Macaca fascicularis: one gene and its partner. The protein of the gene in region 2 purifies or fractionates together with the protein of the main gene of each other region. This does not show direct contact. Links are inferred from orthologs where the notes say so. Each region holds a gene or a part of one and is shown on either strand. Other genes may lie near its edges.

The links.
Region 1: the proteins of CCDC68 (region 2) and CEP170 purify together in Homo sapiens (co-immunoprecipitation; 3 studies listed by BioGRID and IntAct, counting the BioPlex papers as one, with this or other methods). This does not show direct contact. The link is inferred for Macaca fascicularis from reciprocal best matches to the Homo sapiens genes CCDC68 and CEP170.

The regions. Positions count from the first base shown.
Region 1 is NC_088375.1:5,967,327-5,971,529, reverse strand, and holds the start of CEP170 (centrosomal protein of 170 kDa), read right to left. Parts: upstream 2,806-4,203; 5' UTR 2,585-2,805; intron 2,083-2,584; exon of another isoform or gene 1,893-2,082; intron 1-1,892. Other genes in the region: SDCCAG8 (serologically defined colon cancer antigen 8), read left to right, coding at 3,719-3,785.
Region 2 is NC_088392.1:26,040,483-26,043,995, reverse strand, and holds part of CCDC68 (coiled-coil domain-containing protein 68), read right to left. Parts: intron 3,111-3,513; coding exon 2,985-3,110; intron 1,257-2,984; coding exon 1,128-1,256; intron 1-1,127. UniProt on the Homo sapiens protein: Centriolar protein required for centriole subdistal appendage assembly and microtubule anchoring in interphase cells. Together with CCDC120, cooperate with subdistal appendage components ODF2, NIN and CEP170 for hierarchical subdistal appendage assembly.

The DNA of each region.
Region 1 (4,203 bases), on a different chromosome or scaffold from region 2:
CTAGATGAGCATTATCTAATTGCAATCAGATACAATAATAAAACTAGTTCTTTTTTTCAGTAGATAAAAAGGAACAAGAAACTGATACTTAGAACAAATCAAACAAATCACGAAGCACAGAATTTTAAAAAGTACCATAGCAGCATTAATATGCAGAATGTATGCTAAGGTTTACAGTATAAATTTCACTATTCTAATGTTAAAATAGGGAACAGGCAGATTATTTCCATACAAAATAATCTCAGAACACAATGAAATTTACCAGTAAAATACATTTAAAGCATGATTGAATATAATTCCACACACTGAAATTTAGTTACACATTTTTTAAAGTTGAAATTTAAGATAAATAATAAATCCTTTAAAGAAGTCTATTAAAATGCAACATAAAATTAAACGATTAAAATTATAAGGCAAGAAAAGAGCACTTTATGGCAAAATCAACCCAATAAAAAACAAAGTTAATATATCTTAAAATGTAAATTCTAGTTTAAGTTGAAAGTAATCACTAATAACTCATTAATGATTACAACTCATTAACTGTGGTAAAATAAACATCACAGGCTCTTGTTATGCAGAAATTTTATTTTTAACACAGCCTATAGAGTTGATCATGATATTATTATAAAATACTATTGATTTTCAAGAAATAATACTAAAACCTACCATTAAGTAGTAGGGAAAACACTGCAACACTTCGTTTTTATGAAAAGCACATGTTAGGACATCTTTCCTCATTTAGTAAGTTACTTTATACAACTAAAGGTCCATTTCAGAAGAATTACTACTTTTACATCGCAGAGGCAAGAACTTGATTAATAACGGTGAGAATCAAGTCCAGTGATAGTCACAGCCTGCTCAAGGAGAGCGTAAAGAAGCTTTCCATACATTTTCACAGGGTAAAAGGGCTGGGGGGACACAGGAAAGATCACTCTGCAGAATGGACCTTGAGTTTCATTTGGCTCTGCCTTCCATTAACAGTCTGGCTTGGGCAGACAAGTCAGTTAACTTTCTGAGTTTTAGTGTCTTCCTCTGTCAAGTGCACTTGGGCTCTTCCGTGTTACCTACAAAGTTAGGAAGAGCTAAAGGCAGCCCTAGTTTTACTTTTTAAAAAATAATGACAGAAAAATACGTAACTTGCTATTCATCAGTGTACTGTTTCCAGAGCTGAATTCCTAAGTCTCTGAAGCATACCCAGCTAGGGTTATACCAGTGAAGATCCAGATACTATAGTCAAAATGTCACTCTCTCCTCTCCCATTATTCCTCCACCTGCTCCTCCCCATCCTGCGTTATCCTCTCTTCTGGTGTGTTTTAAGAAGCAACGCCAGCAAACGGCTGTATCCATTGTAAACTTGAGGATGAAATCGTTTTAAAAGATGCATTTTCAATCAAATGTATCATCTGCTTCGCCAAATTCCTCCCAAATGGCTAAATTTTCATTAATACAATAAAAATGAGGTAACAACTTCGGAAACAGAAATGACCTGGGCCAGTTGTTTTGTTTGTTCTACTTGCTTAAAAAATAAAACGGAAAGATGTATCTATTCCCTCAGGAACATAAATGCATTACCCGCCCATTGAAAAAACAATTCTGCTGGTTCATTTCCCTGACACAACAGCTTCGTTGTCAGGCCCTCTCCAGCCCAGGCTCCAATGTCACCTAGTAATTTTATATTGATCACCTTGGCAGTGCTTGGACTCCAGCAGGCATAGTCCCTGTCTCCCTTACATTCCTCAAAAATAAATTAAATAAGTAAATAAAACTCTACGAAACGCCACCGAACAGAGATTCTGTGACTTAGTAGACAAATCCCACGTCTTCCCGCCCTGTGTTAGGCAGCTGCAAATGTTATTTTTTCATCGCTTGCATAAAATGGAAGCGAAACGTACCAAAACCCTATATTTGAATCCTAGGACAATGAAGCCGACAGGAAGCCACTCTCTCCTCCCCCGGGTTTACTACGGAGCCAGAGCCTCCGCGGGGTGCAGTCGCCTGGCAGGGTGCATGACAGCGCGTCTTCCACGCCCTCCCAACGCGTCCAAAAGGCTCCTCGCCTGACCTCGCCAACGGCCTCACACCTCAAAACCAACCACACAAAAGGGATCGGCCCGCGGAACTGCTCCAATCGGGGAAAAATCCCTTCCCCAGCGACAGCGCAGCCATTCCCTCCAATGCTCCGCCCGCACCCCTCGCAAACTGCTACGGCGGAAGGGGGAGGGCTGCACAAAGCCAGGAGAAAGCTGAAAATGAGTCAATGCACTTAGGGGACGCGGAGGCGGCGGCCAGGGACTCGGGAAAGCCGGGGGGCCGCAGGACTGGAGCTCCCGAGGGCGGCGGGTGGGGGATGGGAAGGGTGGTCCCGTCCAGACCCCGGTCCTGGGCGGGCAGAGGGTGGGGGTGGCGGCGCCGCGCGGAGCATCCGGGAAGCGCCCCCTTCGCGGTCCAGCCCCGCAGCCCCGCACCCCCGCCCCGCGGCGGGCCGCGCCCGAGTCCTCGCTGCAAACCCGAGGAGCAGGACGTGGAAAAGCAGCCGCGGCGGCGGCTGCGGCGCCTACACCGAGCAGCCGATCGCATCACTTACCCCTCACAGTGGCGAGAGGGACCGGACGGGGGAGGCGGGGCGCGTCGCGTCCCGTGAGTCTCTCGCACGCCGTCCTCCCCCCACCTCGTCGTCGTCGCCGCCGCTGTTGTCGTCGCTGCCGCTGCGGTCGAGCTCCGGGGCCCTCAGCTCCGCTGGGCAATAACGTTATTCCACACACGCCCCACACATAGCGGTAACGGCAAAGAGCGGCTGCCTAGTGCGCAGGCGCCTCGGGAAAGGGCGAGGAGCTGGACCCTATCCCCTCCTCCTGCCCAGTTCCAACGATTCCTTACTGCGCAGGCGCCAGACACAGACAATGAAAAGGGGTTGTGCGAGGGTCTCACCCACACGTTTTTCCAGCTTGCCCACTGCGCAGGCGTGCCCCGAAAGACCAGCTAGAACAATGAAGAGGACCTCGGAGTTAGGTGGGACCGCAACCAACAAGGACTACAGTTCCCAGCGGGCAGAGCGCCAACTCCAAGTGGAGGTCCGGTTACTGGGCATGCTAGGAGTTGTAGTGTCGGCCGCCTTTACAATTTAGGCTGTTTGGAGGATTTAGAGCTTCTATTTCTTGAGGATTTATTCGACCGTTTAAAAAAATACCGCAACCGAAGCAGGGTTCAGAGGTTCCTCTCTGCGTCCTTGAGTAACCTAGGGATCAACTGCTGCATATTAGCAAATTCGAAGCGTCAAGGCCTTCAGTGAACCCTTTCTGTCATTTGGGGTGGTCCAGGCGGCAGAAGAGCGGGATGGAGGCGGGACTAAACCAGGCTGGGCTGGAGGAAAAGGGCGGGGCCTGCAAGCCTGTCTCTTGGCAACAGGCTCTGGCAGCCCAACCGTCCGAGCTAGCGCCTGGTGCGCAGTGGTCTCTGGGAATTGTAGTGTAGCTGGAAGGCTCTCAGGATTGTCGAGCTTGGAGGCGCTGAACATGAGGACTACAACTCCCGAGGTCCAACGCGAGGGCCAGTGGGTGGGAAGAGCCCCCACGAGCTTCGTGCGGGATTCTAGGCTCCCCTGTGACAGCCGCGGCAGGAAGCAGGCCGGCGCTCCGCGGCCACAGGCCTGCTGTTTTCGGAAGGGAGAAAGCTGGACATTTCCCCACGTAACTCCCAGCTCTGGGCCTAGAGTGTGTGCATGGCGAAGTCCCCGGAGAACTCTACCCTGGAGGAGATTCTGGGGCAGTATCAACGGAGTCTCCGGGGTGAGTTGCTCCAAACCTCTGTCCCTAGCCCCGAGGTGCCCAGGGCCTAGTGGGCGGGAGCGGACCAGGTGCGTCTCCTAACACCTGGGTCTGCCCCATCCAGGCTACAGAGGAGCAAGATGGATGTTTGCTGTGGTCTTCTGAGGAGGATGAAGTAGTTTGATTTAGTTTTTACAGTTAAGCAACGATGTTTCCTCAGATTCCCTTAGTTACCTGAATCAACTCCTTGATCTTGGCATCCTTCTCAACCAGCGACAGCAGAGACTCTTGGATAGCTCTATGTCATTTTTGCCCAGTTCCCATACTTTGTTGTTTAATCCAATAAAAGTCTGATGCACAGTTTTTACACATTTAAATTATGGCATAGTGGATTGAATGTGATTTATAGGATCCGTGGGGGGAAACACTAATAATTATT
Region 2 (3,513 bases):
GCTTAAGGATATTCTAGCCCAGTGATTCTGCTAAAGTATAACACTCAGTGACCTACCACATAATACACATGCAGCTGAATACTGTTATCTTAGAGCCACTTGATAATGGGCATATTTAATTTTTATGATTTCCTCATAGGTCCTTCACCAAGACTACGAATTCAACCAAATCACAATGTCATAAAACTTTAAATTCTTGGGAAATATTTTTAAACAAATCAAAGTTCCTTTGATAAGAAACCTAAATATTGAAATGTGATGTTTTTGAAATGATATTTATGAAATGGCATAAACCCAGGCAGACTCATAAAACAAATTAAAGCTAAAAATAACAGAGGCAAATACAATAAATATAAAAAATGTATTGGGCAATATTTACTAGTATCCAAAGCCTATATTTTTCTCTATCCCCAATTCAGTTTCAGAGATGCCAGTTTTCTCTTTGTTTTGCTATTAAAAAATAATATTCCTTGATTTGTCCAAGTTCTAAATTCTAAGGCATACATACACAAATTTACGTGTTCACCTTTTGTGTATATTTGGAATGCTAGCTAGTTAAATGAACATGGCATGAAATATTTTCAAATTTTTATTCTATTATTACTCTTCTCTAAATGTGCCTTCTTAAAGTTCCAATTTCTATAGAATGGCTTTTCTTAATGTAAACTGTATCTCTCCTAGTGCAGCCATAGGTTTTTACAAACACAAAGTAGACTTGGGTGATCAAAAATGGATACTGCACTGACTCTAATACATAAAAATGCTGTGATTACAGGGACCTGCTATATTAATACTCCTAGTAGATGGACTTTGTGCTCTTTTCCATTAGTTGCATTCACAGCCTCACCTGGTTCCCCTTTCTAAGTCATGTATTTCCTAGAAAGTGACAAATGATGATATGACTACAGTATTTGCAGAAAGGTAAGTCAATCACTACAGTATAGATCATATGAAATGTTTAAGGGAAAATTAATATTAAATGCTTCCTAAGGGCAAATACTGTAAAGAATACTTTCACTTAACATTATCTTATTTAATTTAATATCCTATTTATTTTGGTATTATTTTATTTCATTCTCATCCTAACCCTGTCAGTAAGAAAATCCTCTAATTCTCCAGGGCTGTACCTTTTCCATTCTCTGTACAAGGTTCTCCAATTCTGTAATTTGACTGTGTTTTTCTTCAAGTTTTTCAGCAACTTGATTCAGATTTTCAACATGTTGTTTCAATTTCTGTTCTTTTTCAAGCTTGTTAACCTATGGTCAGAGAAACAGTTGTGTTGTGAAAACTCTGTTTTTATTAAACCTATACACATATTACCTCTTTCTACAATTTTCTAATTAGCCAAAAAAATTCAGAATTCATACTTGCTTAGAATTGCTCTTTTTGATTTCAGTGTTTCCTTCAAAATAACCCTGATAGACTACAACAACATTAAATCAAGAATTAATATTATAATAAACATAAATATCCTTCCTAGAATGCTTCCATTTGTTACCATAAAGCATACTTTCTGAATTGATACAAGAGAGAAAGATGCTAATTTAACAAAAGCAACATTGTTGACTTTTTCTCAACAATTATTATCCAGAACCAAAAAAAACCATACAGGTTCAATTAAAACACTTTTTATTTTTAATCAGAAAGTGTCATAAAATCAGAATAACTCTCCTCAGCGTGTCACCGTGCTACTTCACAGGCATAGAGCAGGGGTTGTGCTGAGGGATCATAGGAGAGAAGTTTCCATCTAGCAGGTAATAGGCTACAGCGGGACTGTGTCGACTAACTTGTTACTCTTCCGCATGTGTATTTAACAAAGCTTGACATTTCACAGGGAAAAATAAGTGTCTGGCTTCCTTTGTAAGTACCAAGCGGGCCTTTCAGTCAGTTCACTCCAGGCTAGTGCCGAGCCCACATTACAGGGATGCATGCTTCTTGTCCCCACAAGCCCCCCGCCATAGCATAGCACCCTCATCAGCTTCCCGCTTATGTTCTTCATCTGCACCCTGCATGCATGTGAGTATGCAACCATCACTACCACAGCTTGCTGCATGAAAGGGTGTCACCTAGGCAGTGAATTTCCTACTGTACTCCCCTGGGGACCTTCCTACAGCCTGAGCTGACAGACACCTGGGTGCCCCAAACTATTATGAGTGAACTTACCTATTAGCTGTTTTATATTTTTAATTTTGGCAAACACACACATACAGGCATACACACACTTTTTTGACTTCTCCAGTTCTAGAATATATTTTTCAGACAGATTTTATTGGCCCTAGTGTATATACTTCAGATTTAAAAACAAATGAACAAAAAAGAACATGTATAAGTGTATGTACATTTTTATTTTTAAAATTTATATATTTACATATTAAAATATAAAAATATATAACTTATATATTATATATTATTTATTATACTTTATATATAATATAATTTATTATATATAACTATATATTTTAAAAATATATATCTTTATATATTTTTAAAAACATATAGATACATATTTTGTTTTCTATTTTCTATAACCCAAAGTATGTATCCTAAGTCCAAAACAATTTTGAAATCATGTGTCTAGCCCAACTCTTTCATTCTAGAGACAAGGACACCCAAATCCAGACAGGAAGAATGGCTCAGTCTGGGTCATCTAGCAAGTCAATGGCAGAACCCGAAGAGAGGTTACCAGTCAGGCTCCGCAGGGCCAGCCCAGATTTCCAGGCAGGGTGGCACTGCCTCCCTCCCACCTGTGCTCATGGGGGATCGGGCAACAACTGCAACACAGCAGCTCAGCAACATCTGGGGGTGTCGGGCTAAGCAGGGGCGAGGGAAACTGGCAGAAAAGACTAGCACACCGCTCCTTTCCCAAGTCTTTTGCCAAGTCACTTGGCCATTGCTTGTTTCATTTCTAACTCTTCCAGAAAGATGAACTTGAACAGCTCAGGGTGGGGGCTAGTTCTCCCATAGACAAGCTGCCTGTTTGGTACCTGGAGTAAGTGTTTACCGTCCTCATGCTTCTTTCTCACTTCTTCAGACTGTGTTTGGTAGTTTTCAAATAATCTCCGGGCCACGTTTCTCAGAGCTGCTGCTCCTGCTTCTCTGGAGGCTTCCAGCTAGAAAAAAGGTCACTATGCATGTTCTGACATTTACAACAAAAAAACTTTAAAGGCAGAACAGTTTGATGGGCAATTAAGAACACCAAGGGTATAACTATACCTTTTACAGCCTCATAGACAATGGATAGGAGAGAAGACACTGTTATTTGGTAAGAGGAAAATGTAAAAGGAGAAACTCCCTATTTAGAGGGGCTGTTGAAAAGGCAGATTTGCCATAGTCAAACCAAACCAGAGCTCTGTGCACAGTAATGCCCTGCAGTGATAGTCCTCACTGTTCAGATAACTCTATGCTGCTCTGTCAGCGTATACACTTATTTGCAAGCCTTTTATCATTAATGTCCATAACAGTGTTAAAAAGTGTATCTTCCTGAAATAGAAGTGGGACAAGGTTAAAGTATTG